3 linked regions of the Notamacropus eugenii genome follow. The protein of the gene in region 2 interacts with the protein of the main gene of each other region in a biochemical or structural test. Links are inferred from orthologs where the notes say so. Each region holds a gene or a part of one and is shown on either strand. Other genes may lie near its edges. The genes, in order: BOLA3, GLRX5 and BOLA1.

The links.
Region 1: the proteins of GLRX5 (region 2) and BOLA3 form a complex in vitro, tested with the Homo sapiens proteins (4 studies listed by BioGRID and IntAct, with this or other methods). The link is inferred for Notamacropus eugenii from reciprocal best matches to the Homo sapiens genes GLRX5 and BOLA3.
Region 3: the proteins of GLRX5 (region 2) and BOLA1 form a complex in vitro, tested with the Homo sapiens proteins (2 studies listed by BioGRID). The link is inferred for Notamacropus eugenii from reciprocal best matches to the Homo sapiens genes GLRX5 and BOLA1.

Annotation. Positions count from the first base shown.
Region 1 is NC_092872.1:750,684,825-750,693,458, forward strand, and holds the start of BOLA3 (bolA-like protein 3), read left to right. Parts: upstream 1-5,426; 5' UTR 5,427-5,701; coding exon 5,702-5,743; intron 5,744-8,634. UniProt on the Homo sapiens protein: Acts as a mitochondrial iron-sulfur (Fe-S) cluster assembly factor that facilitates (Fe-S) cluster insertion into a subset of mitochondrial proteins. Probably acts together with NFU1.
Region 2 is NC_092872.1:363,202,294-363,209,771, forward strand, and holds the start of GLRX5 (glutaredoxin-related protein 5, mitochondrial), read right to left. Parts: upstream 3,267-7,478; 5' UTR 3,174-3,266; coding exon 2,882-3,173; intron 1-2,881.
Region 3 is NC_092873.1:303,721,164-303,727,642, forward strand, and holds BOLA1 (bolA-like protein 1), read left to right. Parts: upstream 1-4,521; 5' UTR 4,522-4,671; exon of another isoform or gene 4,672-4,720; intron 4,721-5,259; 5' UTR 5,260-5,262; coding exon 5,263-5,688; 3' UTR 5,689-5,795; downstream 5,796-6,479. UniProt on the Homo sapiens protein: Acts as a mitochondrial iron-sulfur (Fe-S) cluster assembly factor that facilitates (Fe-S) cluster insertion into a subset of mitochondrial proteins. Probably acts together with the monothiol glutaredoxin GLRX5. May protect cells against oxidative stress.

The sequences.
Region 1 (8,634 bases), about 390 Mb from region 2:
TCCTTCTGAATTATATGTGCTAGCTGTGTGGGAGAGCCCTTCAATGCCCCAGTAGTCTGGGCAACTCTAAGATTATAAGAGAAAGTGTTGACTTCCTTGAGAGCTTGCTTAGATATCACATCATTAATGACTGTTCTTTGGACATGGCCGTTTAGCCAGTTTTGCATCCCACATGACTACAATGTAATTAAGCCCAGAGCTGGAAAGGATCCCTGAGATATCCTAAGTGTGAAACTCAGTTACATTTTGGTTATGATGAACCCTGAGAATCTTTCTGAGTTGGGGTAACATTCTGTGACCCCATTAGGACACCCTTGGCAGTGATGGGTCCAGTCTGAGTGGCTAATTATCAAGGGACCACTCTGCTTTATGTAGCTCACAGGAGTATCCAGGTGCAAAGATGACTCACAGAATGTCAGGATAGAAAAGTACCTTAGACCCTAGAATGGAGAGTATGATCCATAAAAAGTGCTTTAGATATCAGAATGCTGAGTGTCAGAGGTTGGAAGGGCTCTAGAACACAGCAGCTTTAGAACATAAAAGTTGTTTCAATTTTAGTCCTGTCCAAGTCTTCATGACACCTTTTGGGGGTTTTCTTGGCAAAGATTCTGGAATGGTTCCCCATTTCCTTCTTCAGCTCATCTTACAGACAAGGAAACTGAGGCAAACCGGGTCAAGTGACTTGCCCAGAGTCATGCCGTTACTAAGTGTCTGAGACTGAATTTGCCCTCAGGTCTTCCTGATCCTAGCCCCACTGTTCCAGGCACTGTGCTACCTAGCTGCCAGAATATAAAATGCAAAATATCAAAACTGAAATGGACTTTAGAACTCATAGTTTCAGAGTTAGAAGGGCTTTAGAACACAAAAGGCAATGCTTCAAAGTTAAAATGGAAGAGGGCCAAACTGGAAAAAAGCTTCTGAATAGATGGAGCATTTAGAACACAGCAAGCATTTATTAAGAACCTACTATGTGCACTGGGCTACCTGCTGGGAACTCAAAGAAAGGTCCACAGTTTCATAAGGGAGACAACTGTGGACAGACAAAATATAGAAAGGTTAAATTGGGGGTAGTCTCAGAGTGAAGTGCTAGGGTTAAGGAGGTCCAGTAAAGGTTTCTTGGAGAAGGCAGGATTTTAGCTGAAACTTGGGAACAAGGAAAAAATAGGGGCCAGAGATGAGGAGAAACAGAGTTCTGAGCATGGGGGACAGCCAGTGAAAATGCCCTGAGTCCCATGTGACAGGAACAGCCTGGAACCCAGTCACTGGTTTGAAGAGTATGCACTGAGGAGTTAGGTAGGAATATGTTAGGTTACTAAAGGCTTTGAATGCCAAACAGTATTTCACACTTATTTTTGGTAAGAGGGAACCACTGGAGTTTATTGAATGGGATAGGTGAGACTTGTGCTTTAGGAAGATTACTTTGACAGTTGAGTGGAGGTATCTACTGGTATCTACAGAGCTTTGAGGCAAGGAGACCAACCAGAAAGCTATTGCAATAGTCCAGGAGGCAGTTGACAATAAATTCAGAATATCAAAGCTGAAATGAACTCTAGAACACCAGAACTTGGAAGGGTTTGGAACATGCAGAGTCTGAAGTGGAGAAGACTTTAGAACACAGAACACAGTGTCAAGTGAATGGATTTCAGACCTCATACTCTGAGAGTTGGGAAGGCTCATGAACACAGAATGTGTTGACAGTAGGACTCAGAGTATTAAGACAAAAATAGATCCAGTGACACTGGTCTCTGCCTGGCTGTTCCCCTAACAGGATACTCCATTTCCCCAATTCAGGCATTTTTCTCTGGCTGTACCCGAAGCCTAGAATGCTCCTCATCTCTACCTCCAAGCTTTAAGTCCCAACAAAAATCCCATCTTCTATTTTTTTCTTAATAGTATTTTATTTTTTTCCAATTACTTGTAAAGAAAATTTTCAACCTTCACTTTTATAAGATTTTGAGTTCTAAATTTTTTCTCCCTCCCTCCTCTGCCCCCTCCCCAAAATGTCAAGCAATCTGATATAGGCTTGCCAGGCCTAGAGGCCTGAGGGCTACCCGAGTCTTCCCTTACCTCACCTCCCGAGGTCTTCGGTTGGCCAATCCGGATGCTCGTATGAGAGAAAGGACGTTCCAGAGTCGAACAAGGGTTGAGCTTTATTTCAGGGTCTAGTTACAAGTGCAGGGGAATTCTTCCTTAGGAGGGAGTGAAGAATCTCCCAAGGAGGCAAAGATCTTACAATAAGAGATTGGAAGTAGAAGTATAAGTGGGGAGAGAGGGGGAGGGGAGAGAAGAGAGAGGAAAAGCGGAGCCTTCTGTCCTGTCAGCTCCGCGCCCCTCCGCCAAGTGAACTTTCAGGCTTTCCTGATCCTACTTAAACTCTTCAGCAGCATAGTTTGCATCTGAATACCGTGCTGTTAGATAACAATAGTGTGCCCAGATCTGGGACAATCTCGAGGGCGGGGAGAGCTCTCTCCCATCACGTTTCTCACGGGAAGAGGCGGAAATACACGAGATAGCTCGGTTCACCTCGATTCCCAGTCGTTTCCTGGGGGGGTCTCGTGAGAACTCTAAGATTTAGAAGTTCCCACCTTTACCCGCCCGAGACTGTCCACCTGGAATTGAGCTTCCATCCCCAGCATAGGCTATACATGTACAATCATATTAAACATATTTCCACATTAGTCATGTGAAAGAAAAATCAGAACAAGAGGGAAAAAACACAAAAAACCCAACAAAATGACATTTAAAAAGTGAAAATAGTATGCTTCGTCTTCATTCAGACTCCATAGTTCTTTCTCTGGACATGGACAGCATTTTCCCTCATGAGTCTTTTGGGTTGTTTTCATCATTGTATTTATTACTCAGAAGAACTATGTCTATCATAGATGATCATTGTACAATGTTACTGTTACTGTGTACAATGTTCTTCGCTCACTTCACTAGGCATCAGTTCATGTATTTCCAGGGTTTTCTGATATCTGCCTGCTCATCATTTTTTTTAAAAAAATTTATTTTTAATTTTCAACATTCACCTCGATAAGATTTTGAATTACAAATTTTCTCCCCATTTCCCCCTTCCCCCCCACCCCAAGATGGCATGTAAATTGATATAGGCTTAACATGTGCCTTCATATTAAATCTATTTTCGCATTTTCCATCATGAGTCTTTTGGGGTTGTCTTAGATCCTTGCATTGCTAAGAAGAGATAAGTCTATCAAAGGGAGTCATCATATAATGTGACTGTTACTCTGCACAATGATCTCCTGGTTCTGCTCATTTCCCTCAACATCGGTTCATGTGTCTTTCCAGGTTTTTCTGAAGACCACCATTTCTTATAGAACAGTAGTATTCCATTACATTCATATACACAACATATTCAGCCATTCCCCATTTGATGAGCATCCCTTCAATTTCCAATTTTGCCATCACAAAAAGAGCTTCCATAAAGAATTTTGTACATTGTGGGTCCTTTGTTGTGATCTTTTTGGGATACAAACCTAGTAGTGGTGTGTTCGTCCTTCGTTGCCGAAGAAGACCATGCCATCAGAGAAATAATGACATGACTTGAACTTGATTTTGTTCTGAGTGAGGGAGGGCTGTGTAGGTCACCAGCCTCACTTTTCCTCCAGAGCCATCTGAATCCAGTGACCTGATATTCATCAGGATGACTGGAGATGACCCAGGATCAGGCAATTGGGGTTAAATGATTTGCCCAAGGTCACACAGCTAGCGAGTGTCAAGTGTCTGAGGTGAGATTTGAACTCAGGTCCTCCTGACTCCTGCACTGGTGCTCTATCCACTGCACCACCTAGCTGCCACTACCTAGTAGTGGTGTTGCTGGATCAAAGGGTATGTACAGTTTCATAGACCTTTGGGCATAGTTCCAAATTGTTCTCCAGAATGGTTGGATTAATTCACAACTCCACCAAAAGTACATTAGTACTCGAATTTTCTCATATTCTCTCTAACATTTGTCATTTTCCTTTTTTTGTCATGTTAGCCTATCTTATATAAGTATGAGGCAGTACCTCAGAGTTGTTTTAATTTGCATTTCTCTAATCAATGGTGATTTAGAGCATTTTTCATGTGACTGTAGATAACTTTAATTTCATCTGAAAATTGCCTGTTCATATCTATTGACCATTTAAAATTGGGGAATGAGTTGTATTACTATAAATTTGACTCAGTTTTCCATATATTTTAGAAATGAGGCCATTATTAATGACACTGGTTATAAAAATAGTTGCCAAGCTTTCTCATTTCCTTCTAATCTTAGCTGCATTAGTTTTGTGCAAAACCTTTTAAATGTAAGATAATCAAAATTATCCATTTTGCATTTCATAACGTTCTTTATCTCGTTTAGTCCTAAATTCTTCCCTTCTCCATTAATCTGACAGGCAAACTATTCCTTGCTTTCTTAATTTGCTGATGTTATCACCGTTTGTCTAAATTATGTACCCATTATTGATCTTATCTTGGTATACAGGGTAAGATGTTGGTCTATGCCTAGTTTCTGCCATGCCATTTTCCAGTTTTCCCAGGTTTTGTCCAATAGTGAGTTCTTATGTCCGAAGCTGGAGTGTTTGTGTTTATCAGACAGTAGATTGCTCTAGTCGTTGATTACGTCTTGTGTACCTGACCTATTCCACTGATCCATTTCTCTAAAATCCCACCTTCTACAAGAAGCCTTTCCCTTTTCTAGTCCTTTGCTCTCTTAATTATTTCCGATTCATCTATTGCTTGTTTGCAGGTATTTGTTCGATTGTTGTCTCCCTCACTGGACAGAGACTGCCTTTTGCCTTTCTGTCCCCAGCGCTTAGCACAGAGCCTGGCCTGTGGTGCAGTTAATTAGAGTTAATTGACGTTAGCATACTGAGCTCCAGGGCTGAAACTGACTTTGGAATGTTGAAAATCCAGCCGAAGTTGACCAAAGAAAGCAGACGTAGGGGCTGAAACTGACTTTAGAACGTGGAGTATCCGAGTGGAAACTGACCAAAGAACGCACACCTAGGAGCCAAAACTGACTTTAGAACGTGGAGTATCCGAGTGGAAACTGACCAAAGAACGCACACCTAGGAGCCAAAACTGACTTTAGAACGTGGAGTATCCGAGTGGAAACTAATCAAAGAACGCAGATCTAGGGCAGAAACTGACTTTAGAACTTGAATATCCAAGCTGAAACTGACTTTAGAACGTGGAGTATCCGAGTGGAAACTGACCAAAGAACGCACACCTAGGAGCCAAAACTGACTTTAGAACGTGGAGTATCCGAGTGGAAACTAATCAAAGAACGCAGATCTAGGGCAGAAACTGACTTTAGAACTTGAATATCCAAGCTGAAACTGACTTTAGAACGTGGAGTATCCGAGCCGGAAGAGGCAGAGTAGCCCGGGAGAGACCTGGCCTGCAGAAGCTTCCAGACATGCTACGCGAAACGGACTTTGCCCCGCCGCGGGGGGAAGCCCAAACTGGCCCAGAACGCCGCGGGGTGCTCGCCCCTCCTCCCGTCCCGCCCCTCCACCCCTCCGGGCGGGCCGGCCGAGGGGGCGGCCTCCGAGGCGACAGAGGGCGGGCTCGGCCGCCGGCTCTCTCCCCGCCCCCGGCCCCGGCCCGGCCCTCTCGCCTTCCCCAGCGTGGGTGACTTTGAGCCGGCGTGAGTCGCAGGCTCCGCACGGCCTCTCCCCGCCCCGCCCCCGCGCCCGTTATGGCGGCTTCTCATCTTCTCTGCGGGAGGAACCTCGGTGTGGTGAGAGCCGGGGGCCGGAGGGAGAGGGGGAACCCTACGCGGGGAAGGGGCCCTTGGGAGAGGGGGGGCTCAGGTGGCGGAAGGGAGTGATGAGACATGAAGCAGGGAGGAGACGAGAGGGACGGGCGGGCGCCGACCTAAGGCGTAAAGATCCGAGGCTCCGAGGGGGTCACGTTTGGGGGGAGGGGCGGAGCAGGGGCAAGGTGACTCCAGAGACTAGAACTGGAAGACCGAAGTCTCAGAGTGGGGGAGGGGATGTAGCTAAAGCAGACTAATGGGGTGCGGAGGCTGAAGATTGGGGACAGGAGGGTGTCTTTGCTGAGACTTAGAGGAGGGGGGGAGGGGAATGTGTATTGGAGGAAGCCAAACGGATCGTCTCTGACACCAGGGAGAAAGCCCCCCTGAAATTTGGCCGCAGTGACCCCAAGGACTTCCTGGCTTTATAGAGGAGGACACAGGCCCGGAGACAGGAAGGGAGGTTAGCTCCCAGGCAACCCGACATGTACAGACCTCCAGCCTTTGCAAAGCGCTTTACAAATACCTCTTTTTATTCTCAGAACTACCCTGGGAGGTAGGTGCTATTGTCCCCCATTTTATAGATGAGGAAACCGAGCCTAAGAGATCAGTGACTTGCCCAGGCTCACACAGGTAGGACGGGACTGGCCCTGTGACTTCACTGGTCCAGGAAACTCCCAGTGTCAATGCCGGCGAGGTAACACTTCTTCCACCCCCCTGGAGCCCTGAGAAGTTAATGACTTGCCTACAGTCTCACTGTCAGAACTCGAATTCAGGTCTTGGCCCTGCCATGGAAAATGATTATGGGAGGGAAGGCCCTAAAAAAGGTGGTGCTTGAGCTGTGACTTGAAGGGAGGGAGGAAAGGGATTCAGGAGGTTGGGGGGTGGGGAGAAGAGGTGCATTCTACTGTGGGGGACAGCCAGTGCAAAGATGGTGCTGGGAGGGGGATGATACAGAAGAGTAGCCCTCTATCTGTGTGTGGTGACTTCCCCATGGTTCATTTATTGTTAGCACAGTGCCTGGTATGCAGTAGATGTTTAATGCTTGCAGCTTGATTGGTAAGAAAACTGAAGATAGGCAGCGGTAAAGTGTTAGCCCAGAGTTGTTCTCCAGGCACACAAGCACCAGATTCCCACTCTATCCTAGGCTGTGCTGCTACTCCTGTCCTCAGAAATCTGTGACTCCCCATTGTGCCTCCTGAGGAGAGTCCCAACTTAGTACCTTAGCCTTTAGTTCAATTCAGCCATATTTATTGATTGCATAATGCTAGACCCTGAGGATACAGAGACAAAACCCACACAGACCCTGCCTGTGGGAACTGACATTTTGTGGGGGCACTATTGATGGCCTGTGTGGACATGGAAAAAGATGTGGACAAAGGAAGGCCAGCTGGAGCATCAGGGGAGCATCACAGGAAGTGGTGGCAGGACAGTGGGGGACACATGTCATGCCTATGAACTTAGGGAGGCAAGAGATGGCTGATGAGTTCATGAATGATGTACACCTCCCTCCCCCAGTATGGCTGGGCCATGGAGGGCTTGAGGAGAATCCTGTCAGGATAGCAGAGGACCTTAGGTGCCACCCAAGGGATAAGGGAGGGAGGCAACCTAGTATCTTGTTGGTGTAGAGAACTCCCAGGGGAGGAACTTCCCTCTACTAGTACAAGTCAACACCTCCTTTGCAAGGTCAGGGCTTAGGTTATGACACTTGCCCAGGGTCACACAGCCAGTGGGAGCCCAACATGGGAAGCCACAGAAATGCCATGGAATTTGTGGGAAGCCACAGAGATGCCATAGAATTTGCTTTAGTCTAGATCTAGGGAATTCCAGAAAGGTTTTTGATTAGGAGAATTATATGGCCAGATTCCTGTAGCAGCTGGTGGAGAATGGATTTCCATTCATGGGTGCAGTCAGGTTGAAGGTGTGCCCAACTGAGAGGTCTTCTAGGGACCAGAACCCTCCTTTTATGGAGGAGGAAACTGAAACCCAGTGAAGCTCAGTGACTTGTCCAAAGTCTTTTGATGCTAGAGCCAGTGGAGAGGAGGATCATCTTGGGACACCATAGTGCATAGAGCATCAGGACAGGTGTCAGGAAGACCCGAGTTCAAATCCAGCCTCAGACACTTACTGGCTATGTGACTCTGGGCAAGTCATTTCACCCTGTTTGCCTCAGTCTCCTCATCTATAAAATGAGCTGGAGAAGGAAATGGCAAGTCACTCCAGCATCTCTGCCAAGAAGACCCCCCACATGGGGTCACAGAGTCAGACATGACCGAAACAACTGAACACCAACATAAATGGAGAGAAACAAAGAAGTCCCACCTAGGCAAGATATCTTGGAGGTCAAGTCCGGGTGGGCAGTGATTGGATCCGAAGGTAGATGTAACCTGAGCTTCTTGAGGACAGGGTTAGGGTTAGCTTTGTGGTGTTTACTAATACTTGTTGATTAATAATTGATGAAATGGGAGCTAAAAAGATGCCCTCCGGGTTAGGAGCCTCTGAGGTTCCCTTCCACCCACTCCCTATTGGAGCATGTTTGTACTCAGTTATCTATCCCTATTCAAATGGAAATTCATTGAGGGCAGGCTTTTGTTTTGCTTTCTTGGATCCACAGTGCTTGGCACATGGTAAATTCTTCATGAGTGTTTGATTTGGAGAGTAGTCTTGCCGTCCTCAAAAATAAGGATGTTTGCCATTGGAGTGCCAGTGTTGGCAATTGGAGTTGGCAAAGGTTGGAAGAGAGATGATTCATTCTATGCTGAGCACACAGTAGGTGTTTCATTAATGTTTGCGGACTGCCTGTCTGACAGGCTGAGTGGAACATGTGGAACTCGGAGGAGGAGCTGTCCAGCAGCCAGCTAGCTGGTGACGTGGTG
Region 2 (7,478 bases):
TGTATTGGGTATATTTTATACATGTATATAAGTAAATACATATATGTAGTAGATAAAAAGTAATCTCAGAGGGGAAAGCAATATAGCAGCTGGAAAATCAGGAAAGGCTTCCTGTAAAAGGTGGGATTTGAGTCTTAAAGGAAGCCAGGAAAACAAAAAGACAGCGATGAGAAGGGACAGCAATCCAGGCATGGGGTGCAAAAAGCTGGAACATGGGAGACAGTGTAATGTGTGAGCAATAGTAAGCAAGCCATTGTAGCTGTACAGTGGAATATGTGGAGGGGACAGGAAAGATAGCGTGGGGCCAAGTTGTAAAGAGCTTTAAATGCAAGGTAAATTTATATTTGATACTAGAGGCAAAAAGGAAACCAATGGAGTTTACTGAGGAATGGGGATGGAGAAGGGTGTGCTGGACAAAGACAGAACTAAACTTTAAGAAAATCACTTTGGAAGCAGTGTAGAAGATGGACTGGAAGGGAGAAACTTGAGGCAGGGAGACCAATTAGAAGGTTATTTCAATAATCCAGGTCAGAAGTGATGAAGTACTCAATCAATTAACTATGTTGCAAGATTGACTTATTGGCAGAATAGTGGTGTTTTCAACAGTAATGGCAAAGTTCAAGAAGGGAGGGTTTAGGGGTAAAGATAAGTTCTGTTATGAACACAGTAGTGCTTTAAGGTTTATAAAATGCTTCACACACACATCAGGGTGTCCACAAGGTCAGAGCTATTTTAATAATATCAGGAAAGTTTAATTTAGAATATTGTAAATATCAACAGATTCAACCCACATAAAAGTTCTTTGGGAAGTCCTGAAATCAAAAAGGTTGAGAACTATCCTCACAGAGTCTAGTGTCTGTAGATGAAAATCCAGAAAAGGAGACTAAGAGAGAATGTTCAGATGAGTAGGAGAACCAGGAAAAAGTAATGCAATAAAGGGGAGAATCTTGTAGATGATCAAGTGTCAAATGCTACAGAGAAGTTAAGAAGAATAAGGATTTCAAAAATGTATTTAGATTTGGTAAATAAGAAATCAATGGAGTAGTTTAAGCTGAATGAATCAAGTGAGAGGAAAGGAAGTAGAGTTGTTTAGTGCAGACAGCTTTCTCAAGGAGCACTTTTCTCAAGCAAGCACTTCAGCCAAGCACAGTAAGATCAATTGAGGGTATTTTAAGGAAAGGAGATATTTTGTAGGCAGTGAGGAAGAATCAGAATCTTGAAGGAAGTCAGAATGTGGAAATAAGGAGGAAAAGTACGTGAGGCATGGGGGACAGCAAGAGAAAAGCTACACAGTTGGGAGGGAGACTGTCATAGCTGAGAAACAGCAAGAAGGTTGGTGTTCCTAGATCACAACAGCACATGGAAAGGCGTAAAGTGTAAGAAGATTGGGAAGTTAAGAGGGGGCTAAGTTGTGAAGGGCTTTAAAAGGCAAACAGAGTATTTTTATCTGAATCCTGGAGGTAAAAGAGAGAGCCACTGGAGTTATGGGGGTGCAGGGCAATATGGGAAGACCTGAAGGAGAGAAACAAACCAACAGGATATTGTAGTAGTCCAGGTGATGAGGGCCTGCACTACATGGCAACTGTCTGAAAAAAAGCAGACATAGAGAAGAGATGCAGTGAAGGCTGAAACGCCAAAATCTGATAACAGACTGTGTGAGATGAATTCAAGTAGAAAGTAACAGAGCTTTCCAGTTTTATTTCAGAGTTCTCCTTTATATAGTCTTCATTCTAGGCAAACTGAACATTAACTAGTTCTTTCCTGAACTCAGCATTCTGAGCTTCTACAGAATCACAGATTTAAGGCTGGAAGAAGAGTTGAAAGGCCTGTCAGGTCCTTCACAAGGAACTAAGGTCCAGAGGGGTTAAGTGACTTGCCAAAGTTTTATTATGTTATAAGGAGTAAATTTGAGGTTTGAGCCCAGGTCCACTCAAAATTCAACATTTTTTCCACAAGTTATCTCCCATGCTGGAATAAATTCCCTCTTCATTTCCATTAATCCATATTTTATCTTTCTCCAAGAAGCTTGCCTGGACCCCCCTACCATTTACTTTTCTGTTTATGTTTCGACTCTCAGTGGGATATAAGCTCAACTGTATTGTTAGATATCCTGAGACCACAACCATAACTTCATGAAACTTCTGCTTTTCTAGTGTAACTACATTAATGCTAGTAGGTCATACACGATGTTCATGACAAATAACAGACCTAGGGCAAGTCTTAATGGAACTTAAAGTAAAAGACTGATGGAACACGAAATTGTAAGCTCCACAACAGTACACTTCCTCTAGCTTTTTAAAAAAAAAATCTTTCCCAGTGCTTAACAGTAACAACAGTAGTGGTAATAATAATAGTGACAACCAGTATTCTACATAGAGCTTACTAAGCACTTTACAATTATTATCTCATTTGGTCCGAAAAACAACCCCCGAGGCAGGTGCTGTTATTATCCCAGTTCACAGAGGAGAACACGGACGCAGCCAAGCGTCGGAGGCCGCCTCTGGACTTCGCTCCAGAAAATCCAGCCTCAGGGCCGAGGGCCCGGGCCGGGCTCCCTAGGGAGGCCTGCTCAGCATGGAGGCAGCACCAAGTTAGGAAGTCGGGAAGGTCCCAGAGACCTCGGATCGATACCACCGTCAACAACAGGCGGCATTCATGCCAATCACCTGGTAGCCGCCAGACTGCGGGAAGCTGCGGTCTCGGACACCGCCCCGCCCCCTCCCCCGGCAGTGCTGGACCCGGGCACCCCCTTTTCTCCTCCCCCACCCTCATTCCAGAAGCTTATCAATGTCCCGTGAGCGCGAGGAACCCGAGGCGAGGAGGAAGGGGCCTGGCTCCCAGCAGCTCGGGCCCCGCTCGCGACCCTTCGATCCCGCCTGACCTTGACGGAGGTCGGGATCGTCCAGCACGTTGTAGGCCGCGTAGTTGGAGACGCCGTGCAGCCGCAGGATCTGCACCACGGCGTTGCTGAAGCCGCACTGGGGCTCCTGGGGGGTCCCCTTTAAGAACACCACCACTTTGTCCTTCTTCACGAGAGCATCAAGATGCTCCCTGGAGGCCGAGCCCGACCCCCCGGGGCCCGAGCTCTGAGTCCGCAGTGCCGGACCCCGCAGGAGGAAGCCGCGCCCCAACTGGAGCAGAGCTACAGACACTCGGCCTAAAGACCCGCTCATCTCCCGCAGCCACACGTCCTCCCGACCCAGAACTAGGGAACCGTTCCTCGGTCCCAGCACCCGCGCCTCCTTGTCCCGCCCCCCAGCTGTGGCTCCATTGGTCAAAGATTTGAGAACAAATGTGGATTAGAAGAAGTTTACCTGTCAGTCCTTGGAAATGACCAATCATTTCACTGGGCCCCTGGCGGGGGGCGGGGATAAGAGATGGTGTACAGTCTCTACGCCTTCCACCACGCTCCGCCGTTTTTCTTTCGCCTATTGATAACCTATTTTTACGTCGATTGGCGGTCCCAGGTGCCCGTCGGTCAGGATTGGAAGCCAGTGATACGTAACAAGGGAGAATAAAGATTTTCCTGCGAAAAAACTGGTTGGCTGGGTTATTTGGGGGGCGGGCTGTGGGAGGATCGAGAAAACTTTGTTTTCAGTTTTAACCAACTTCTCAGGAGGGGCGGGAGAAAGAGACGGTGCTGACCGCGTGTACGCCATTTCCTGTAACCGGTTCTTCCTTTTCCGGTTGATGATGACTTGGAGTTGTCATGGTAATGCGGCCCGTGAGGCCTCGGGCCTGCGGACCGGGCGGGAAAGGAGGAGAGGAGAGGCGCGTGCTCCGTCTCCATCTCTTTGCAACTAAGGTTAGTCGTTTTCGGGGCCCGGAGGAGGCGATGAAAGGGACGGGGGCAGCGTGTCTGGACTGCAGTGCGGGGGGCTGGGCCATTCCCTGACCGCGGCGGTCGGCCCTGCGCGAGCCCGGCCCCTTCTTCCTGGCATCCCGCCCTCGTGCGCAGGCTGGGGCGCCCCCTGGTGGTTGGAGCTTCCTTCTGGCCTGCGGAGGAGGAACCCTTCGGGCTAGTGCACGGTCACGTGGCGGACGCCCGCGGGGCGTGAGGATAGGTCTTCCGGATCTCAGGTGAAGTAACTGAGGCCCACAAGCTCCCGTCACCCCTCTGTTCCAGCCCCTAATCCCTTGGATTAGGTCCCAGCCGCCTCGTGGCAGTAACCTCCCTTCCACCCCAGTCCTTGCTCTGCTTAGCCGACCAAATGCTTTCCCTAAAGCCCGGGGCTGATAGTGTAGGCATTCAGGAAATTTGGGTGCTTCCCTTCTTGCCTCCTGGATAAAATATATGGAAATATATATAGATATATATATTACAATATACTACATATGTAACATATGCATATATGATTATATAGAGAGAAAAATACATAGAAAAAATTTTGTTTCCTCTTGTTCTACTTTCAAAGCCCTTCATGACTTGGTCCCAACCTGCCTTCCCATCCTCCTTATGCAGTACTCTCCAGACTCCACCGGGCTTGCTTGCTTTCTGTTCTGCTCTCATCACCTTGCCTTTGCCCTGGCTGCCCCCATGCCCAGAATCCACTCCCCCACCTTCACCTGGAATCCCTGTCCTCAAGCATCACCTGCATGAAGCCTTCCCCAGTTCTTAAAGTTACTAGTCCTCTCCTTCCCTCCTCTACTGAATTAGCCCCGCATTTATTTTGGACATGTTTATCCTTTATATGTATTTGTGTACGATCACATACACACACGTAATGAGTATGAATATATAAACAATAGATACAGATAGATATCTGTCTATAGATAGACTTACGTGTTGTTTCTCCTGGTTGAACTCAAATTCCTTGATAACAGGGACTGTTATATTTCTTTGCCTTTGTGTCTGTAGCATCTAGCACAGTGCCTGGCACATAGGCAATTAAATGTTTGCTGACTGGGGTTACATTGGCAATGAGTAATATGACAGGGGTCTAATAACCAATCTTATGGCTCTAGAATCAGTGCTCCGTATATTGCCTTCATATCCTCTGCCTGATCAAGTCAAGCCACGAATCCAGCATGGCTCCTTTTGTTCATTTTAGAGCAGAACTTCAAATTTTCCTAATTTCAGTTTTTAATTGTTATTTTTTTCAGGTTTGAGTGGCAGGGTTTAATTCAAGGAATAAAAATCATAACCATGCCTTTCAAGTTCTCTCACTGTGGAATTAACTCCAAATTGGCCCAGTTATGGAAGAAACATTGAGTAAAAGCAATTGATAATAGGAAAGGGCAGGTATAGAATTTTTTTACTCTTTTTAATTATTTGGGTTATATATGACTGTAAAGGATGTTTAATTTTGTTTGTACTATGTGTCCAGGGCCATAAGTGAAACCCACAGGAAAGGAACTCCAGAAAAGATAGGGCTTTTTCTGAAATTTTGAACAACAGACATGAGAATTTAAATATATGCCACTAATTGGTGCAGCTCATAAATTTATTGTTCCCCTTTCTGCCTAACATCAGTAAGTGATTCTGAGAAGAACATTTTTAAGTAAAACAGTTTTGGGGGCAGTGCCAAAGAAACAGTATTATAAACGGTCTGTTCATTTTCAGATAGCATTCTGTTACCATGTCTTGCTTTGTGCATTAGGGTGATGGGGCAGGAGAGTCCAGATGAGATAGGTCTTAAACTCCAGGTCTTCCTGACACCAAGGCCAGTGCTCCATCAACTATACTATGCTGCCTTTCTAGTTTGGTTATTATTCAGTTTCAAGAAATATTTGTTAAGGGTCTCTGTATTCCTGCTGAGTGCTGTAGGGAAAAGGGGAAGATTTGAGATTGAGATAAAAGACAATTTCTACCAAAGTGGAGCTTGCAGTCCAATAAAGGTCTATAACTCAGGTATATTAAGAATACTGTCATGAAGGAATTTGATCAGGATATTTCAATAGGACTTTTGTAATCTTTAGTTCATCCCTTAGCACTTAAGATCCTTTACAAAAATGTCTTAATTGTCTGCAGTCTTGGAATGCTCTGGGTTGGTTGTGCCCCTGAGTACACCTGACTTGCAGAAAGAACATATTCCAGAGGAAGCTGAGGCATGGCTGTTAAAGGACGAACAGCATTATGTGCAATATTCCTCTGACACCAACTGAATACTGTTGCCACGGTGATGGTGACTCTTCCATGTCATTATCTATCAACCAACAGTAAGAGAAGCATTGCAGTCAAGATATTGTTTAGCAAATGGAGAAATTTTTGCTGAACACTAAAAACTGCGATAAAAATGTTTAAAACCTCTAATGTTCTTTTAAAGAACATTTTTGTATCTAAATATGTTAGTGCTGTAAGGGACCTTGGAGATAATATAGTTCAACTTCTCATTTGTACCTGGAGAGATGAAATAAAACTGCTTAAATTCATACCTGGCTAAATGGCAGAGCCTGAACTTAGAACTTCAGTTTAAGTCTACTCCACCTCCAGTTATCTTGCCCATACCATGCTACTTTTGTTATTTTTTTTAACTGAAACATTGATTTAACTAGTTTCAGATGCTGTTGGCAATTCTTTAATAAACCCCTTCCTGGAAATTGATCCAAAAACACTGAAAATAAATTACAGTTCAATTATATTGAATATTTCAAGACTTTTGTTAATGAAAAGTTCTGTAGAGGCAGCATGGTGTAGTGTGAGTAGAGTGCTGGGTTTTGAATCTATGAGACCTGGATACAAATGCTACTAACAAGGGTGAGGCCTGCCCTGCTCCCCTGCCCCCCAGCAACTTTCATGTGCCTCTTGATAATTCTCTAGAATCATAGCCTTAGAGCTATAAGAGACTTCACAGGCCATTGAGCCGAACCCAGTATTCTTATAGATGAAGAATCTGAGGTACAGGAGAGTTAAGTGACTTTCTCATAGTTTCAAATGCATGAGGGTCTCCTTATCTACTAGATCATTGATGAGTTAACTGTCTTGGTGAAGAAGGAACTCTCTTTGTGTATTTATGTATTCCATGTCTGTCACTCTTGCTTCTGCTAATTTTAGGCTACAAACTTGTATAAATTGCATGATGTCTTAAATCATTTTTTCTGTGTCTTAAGTAATTTTTTGTGGTTTTTCTTTTTCAGGTTCAAATGATTCAGGGTAAATCCAAGGAACAATCATCAATATATGTAGAATTGCCTAACGTACTGAAGCTTTACCCTATATGTTTCTTTGTTGGAAGGTTTGTGTACCGTGGATTTAACATTGTCATCTAGAGTACGTTCTTTCCAAGGTGATCTAATTCATTCTTACATTATTGTAGCATGATTTCAGCAAATTTAAAGTAAGGTGCATTTTTTGTTTTTAAAGAGCATTAGGAATTTTAATTCCTGAAACCCTGAAAATATATTTTACACAGTACTTTAAACATTTCAGTGCTGTGACTTAGTTGGTGTTTGTATTCCTCTCATCTAGGCTCATTAAAACCCACAGCCAACATCAGTGATAAACCTCTCTAAAGTTAGCTGGGAATTAGGTTGCTTAG
Region 3 (6,479 bases), on a different chromosome or scaffold from region 2:
TGCAGATTTCTAACCTTCCCCCTTCTAAGTTGGGTCCCCAGGACAGTTGTAACTACCAGAGCATCCATAGCACCCACACTGGGAAAACCCCAGGTACCCACTTGAAGTGTAGGCTTCAAAATTCAATGCAGTGAGTAAGAGACCTGCCTCTCTAATTTTCATTCTGGATGGAATAATTGAGAATCACAGGATCCATCCCTTACTGCTCAGACAGCTACCATCCTAGTTCATCCCTGAATCAGTTTTTGCTTGGACTATATTACAATGGCCCCCTCATTGTTCTCACTGCCTCAAGTCATTTACCTCTCCCATCTATCTTCTACATAATCGCCAAAATTATTTTCTTAATATGGTAGTCTTAACTATGTCATTCACCTATTCAGTAAACTCTAGTGGTTACCTATAGACTCTAGGATCTAATATTTTACCTTCATCTCATCCTTTTTTAATTTGTATTTTTGTGTAAGTTTTATAATTATAATTTATAATAGATAATTATTGGTACAGTACTATATAAATTATAAATAAACATACACATATTAGGTACATGATCAAGAAAGTTTGGAGAGCAGTGGATTCCTAGAATCCCTACTGGATCTTACCCAACAATAAACATATCTTCTTTTCTGCTATTCTCATAAGGTCATCCTTCATTCTCAGAGAGGACCAATGACATCAGGAGGGTGATGTCTTCCATGTGGATTGGATTTAAGTGAGGCAGAGCTACTCAAAGTCAGCCTCACTCTCTCCTCCAGAGTTATCCAAGTCCAGTGGCAAGACATAAGTCAAGACAGGGTATGGTGGGAAGCCTAGGCCTTTTTAAGCTAAATCTTTCCCAGGTTTCAGGTTGTCTGATCCATTCAGTAATTAAGAGCTAGGTAAAAATTGAGACAAAAGATGGCCTATGTCAACCTGAAAATTTGGTTAAAAGAGGCAAACAGACTAATTTTATATTGTTTATTCCCTTAAAGCTAGCAGTTACATGATCTTGGGGCCAGAAGGAAACCTCTGACTGACTAATACAAGAATGATCAGGTGTAAATCTGTTTTAGGAGAATCCAAAGATGTCTGTGTCCCTCAGATTTATGGCCTCTACATGTGATTCACTGTATCATGAGAAAGGAATTCTTTTAATTGAATAGGTTGTAAATACAATAATAAAAGAGAGTTGAGAAAATGTCAATTGAAATTATGACCCAGGATACCCAGGATATCTCCACAAAATATTAAGATAAGGAAAAAGTCCTACTATTCAAGATAGTGTCTCCAGTTAGGGGTCTCATAAAGTATGGTAAGTCAGCCTCATCTGACCTTGTGGACAGAAGAAGAGGCATTCTCTGAGTTTACTTCAGAGAACAAAGAGACTGTTAGGTCCAGGCTCTTCTTCTGACTGATTAATTCAAGGTCTGACCCTTACTAAAGTCCAAAAGTGATATTAAATGATTATCACCTAGTTTGCCATCACAAAAGAATCAGCCCAAAAGAGGAAGAGTTACTGACCAGAACAGAAAACAATTGCTATTTACACTTACTCTGAATCATCAAAACCCAAGCAACGAGCAAAAGAGGCTTAGGCTGGGATCTATTATTGGCTAATCAATGAAAGCCAGAGTGATATGGATTTATAAGCACAGTCAAGTGGCTCCATTTGAATTTCAATGGGCTTTTTAAAAGTCTGTTTTTTCAGAGCTATATTTCAAGAAATAATAAATGAAGACTCCATGAAACAAAGAGTTAATTGTCCCAGCTTCTTGAAAAAAAAAATGATGAATAAATGAGGGGATCTAGTCCCCAAACCCCAAGATACTTTGTGAAGTACAAATGTTCAAAAATTATAGTCCTTTGTACAAAGCACCCACATATAAGGGTATCACTCCCCACATAGACAGAAAAGGAGAAGAAGGAGGAGAGAAAAAGAAAGAAGAAGAAGAGGAAAAGCTCTTGATAGGTAGGTCATATAGCTCAGGTAAAAAGGGGGGAAAAGTGTGTGTGTGTGTGTGTGTGTGTGTGTGTGTGTGTGTGCAAGAACAGCCAGGCCTGGAATCAGGAAGACCTGAGTTCAAATCTGACCTCAGACATTTACTAGATATGTGACCCTGGACAAGTCATTTAACCCTGTTTGCCTCAGTTTCCTCATCTGTAAAATGTGCTAGAGAAGAAAATGACAAATCACTCCAGTATCTTTTCCAAGAAAACCCCCAAATAGGCTCATGAAAAGTCAGAAATGACAGCAACAAAATAATGCATGCGTGTTGTGTGTGTATGTGTGTGTGTGTGCACGCATATGTCCATCACCTACTGATGGTATGTGTCACACTCTTGAGCGGACAAACTGTACTTTACTTGCCTGTCTGTCTACTGTGCTGGCTTAGTTAGTCAGTAGCTAGCAAGGACCCTGAAAATTCTGTTGATACCAAAACTATTGAGACCTAGATATAAGCTATATTCTGAGTTTCCTGGTAGAAATTCTGAGGATATCAAAGACTGAATACCACCTGTGTAAATACAGAACTTGGAATATTGGGTCATAAAAGACAGATTCTGGCATAGTGGATGGTTTTGGGTTTACAGTCAGGAAAGCCTGCATTTGAATGATTCACACTCAAATATTGCTTCCTGCTCTTGGTAACTGAGTGACCTGCATCAAATTACTTAGCCCTTCTGAACCTCAGTATTCTCATCCATTAAATGGTGTTGATAATAGCACCCATCTCACAGAGTCCTTGTGAGGAACAAATAATGCTTTGCAAACTTCGAAGTGCTACACTAATAAGAACAATTATCATTTTAAAACTTGGGGCTAATACATACAAAGGTGACTGAAGGGATCATCATGGATAGAATTGTTACATATCCCAATTATTATATAGGATGTTCTCTATTCCAACATATCCTACCATTTTGGGGTATTTCACAGGTCTATTGTAAAAAAAAAAAAAAGACATTTTGTAAACCTGAAAGCACCATCTAAATGTGAGTTTTCAACTGTTAGTAGTATTATTTATTAATAGTCTGGCTGGATTCAAATATGAAGCCATTCTGTATCTTCCCCCACCCCATTCTTGTGTCTCCAGTTAGAATATCCTTCAAAATAAAATCTGAGATTCCTAATCCTCCTTTGATTTGATAGTAGTGATGGAAACCAGAGAAGTCAGAAAAGAAGTGGCAGAACCATATCACTTTGCATTCAACCCATAACCATAAAAGAGGTTATGATCTCCTGATCACAAATTAATTCTAATAACTTAATAAAGACTACTTCCTTGTCTTTATTAACTACAGAAGAGAATACAAAGAAAAACATTTACATTCTAATGAGGCAAACAATACATATATACAAGGAGCAATGTGAATGTATCTCAGGGCTGACATAGGGTTGGCATAGTATGGTAGAAACCTAGATGTCAGAAGGCTTTCAGATTCCCAACCCAGCTCATATACTTACTTGCTGTGTGACCAAGGACAAGGCATTTAATCTCTGAGCTTCTTTTTCTTCAACTATCTATAAAATGGAGATACTAATTACTTGTACTGCTTACCTTAACAGTTTACAAACTGCACAACATAAATGAGCTAAGATTATTAAGTATTTTGCCGTGTCCTTGTGTTAGGGAGAAGTAAAACTCTAGAGGTAGACACTCTAGAGGTAAGATAGCATGGTGTAGGAAATGAGCCCCTGACCTGGGAATCAGACCAGAATTCTAGTCCTAGCTCCAAACTAAACCAGTTGTGGGAGCTTAGATAAATCATGTCACTTTTCAAAGCCTCAGTTCTCTGATATGTCAAGAGTAGGGATTAGCTCTCTAAGGTCCCTTATAACCATTATCTTATAGTAATTATATTTAGTCTTCTCCTTAGGAGAATGTGAGCAATATTGGGCTTTATTCTTGTTTTTTCCCAAAATAATCAAAGGATTTTCCATCAGGAGCCTAGAACTTTATGGGGTTAGAAGTACCTTTAAAGAATCAAGGTAATCCAGGAATTGGCAAGCTTGAGGCCAAGTTCCTTATTTCTCTATTCTTACCTTTCCCATGCTGTGCCTCAGTTCCCTGTGGTTCAGGATGAAGGGGACTGAATACCAGTAAGTCTTCCCACTACCAGGTGCAATTTGGGAGAGCTATTTGATCAATGATTCATTCATTTGAACCCCTGACTACATACAACATACATACATATAAGTATATATTCGCATGCATGCATATATATACACATATAGGCACATACATGCATATGTGTGTGTGTGCAAGGTGACGTTCTTGGTACGCATAAAGGATTTACAACACTACCTGTCGTCTGTCTCTGGTTAAGGAATTGAGTATTGGGCTGTTGCTAAGGAGAGGGAAACAGTTCAATCGAATACACTGTAACTGATCCTCTTTCACGAAGACCCAGCTCTCCCATCCAGCCTCTGTTGACTGTAGGCTCAACTGAAACTCAAAGGAGGAGGGGGAACTACAACCCCCATGAATGCTCAGGACGCTGGTTACGCGGCATGTCGGGAATTTGGTAACCTTGCCCCACGCCCGCTCTCCAATGAGAGGATAAGGACTCCATTTCCCGGCATGCCTCCGAAACCGGGACTCCAATCCCCCGTGCGTCCTCCGCAAAAGTAGGAACAGGGCGGGCGTCACGAAGCCAGGAGCGTTGGAAGCGATCGACCTCTAGAGACAGGTAGAAAGAGGGGTACCGACCCAGTGTGGGCTCAGACATCACCCTTGAAGTACGTGCACCCCAACCCTTCCCTATATTCCCTGCCGCCATTAGAACGTAGAAAATACCAGAAAATAGAATGTTCGATTTGTATAGCCAGAGCTTAGCTCAGTGCGCGTAGTAAGCGCTTAATTAATACAACGTTCATTCATTGAGTCCGCAGCAGCAGCCCCCCCGCAGTGCGCGCGCGCACACACGCACGCACGCACTCTGCCCCCTCCCATTCCTTCTCTGCACCCACATCCCATACCTCCCCCCATTTCGTTACCTCCAGCCTCCAGCTCTCTGCGTTCTAGGCACCCCTTCCCTGCCACCCCGAGCTCTTTGTAGCCCTCCTCCTCGACGTCACAGAAGAATGGGGTGGGATCCCCCTACTCCCCCCCATCCCCGCCGGGTGCAGTTTGGGTGGGCTGCCCGAAGGAGGGCGGTTGGGAGCTTGGCTTGGGGGATGGGATAGGGGTGAGGTCGGGGTTTGCGTGGGGGTGTCCCTAAGTCCCGTTTGTCCTTTCCCCCCTCCCTGCCTTTCCCCTTCCCCCATCCTTCCTGTAGCTGATGCTAAGTGGGCTTCGAGTCCGACTCCTGGCCCCCAGGGCTGTGTCCGTCTGCGTCTATCAGTCCAGTGGCTGCATAAAGAGGGTAGGAATGGAGGGTCCTGTGGAAGCGGCAATAAGAACCAAGCTGGAGCAGGCTCTGAGCCCAGAGGTGCTGGAGCTTCGTAATGAGAGCAGTGGCCACGCGGTGCCCCCCGGGAGCGAGACCCATTTCCGAGTGGCCGTGGTGAGCTCCCGCTTCGAAGGGCTGAGCCCCCTACAGCGCCACAGATTGGTCCATGCTGCCTTGGCTGAAGAACTTGCTGGGCCTGTGCATGCGCTGGCCATCCAAGCCCGGACCCCTGCCCAGTGGAGAGAGAACCCCAAGCTAGACGTCAGCCCCGCCTGCCGAGGTGGGAATAAGAAAGACCTCCGTGGTGTCTCCTGAGACCTTGGAGAAGAGAGAACACGTGTATTCTAGATATGTGGGAGGAAGAGAGTGACTGACCTTGATTAGGGCCTGCCCTTCCAAAATAAAAATGTGGTTGTGTCTGACCGTGTCTTTGTGATTGTGAAACTGAGCTGAGAAAGTAATGTCCCATAGTGTAGGCACTCAAAGGACTGTTACGTGGCGCTTTATCCCTGTGGCTCAGAGAAATGCCGCTGGTTAATTCATCTGAACCCCTGCTTATGGGCAAGGTGATATCTTGGTACTGACACCAAGGAAGGATGGCTGGCATTGATTTAGAAATGAAAGCTTACAAAAGTGTGTTATATATTGATTTCAAACTTCATAATAAACTTAAAGTAGGCACACTGTACATTATATTCATTTTACAGATAGAACAGGTTCACAGAAGTAAAATGACTGATTACTAGGGAGACCATATCAAGTCAACAAACATTTGAGTGCATGTTCTGTGCCAGGCACTGGAAACTAGGCGCAAGTGGATAGAGCAGTGGACCTGGAGTCTGGAAGATTCACATTCACATCTGTGTGATCTTGGGCAAGTCACTTAATCTCTTCTTTAATTTTCCTTAACTGTAAAATAGAGATAATAATAGCACCTCCCTCTCAGAGTTATTGTGAGGATTAAATGGGATGATATTTGTAAAACACAGCACACAGTAGGCATGATATAAATGCTAGTTATTATCACTTTGCTAAATGCTGGGTATAGAAAGAAAGGCCAAAAATAGTCTGTCCTCAGTGAGATCACAAGTTAGTGGGAGAGCCAA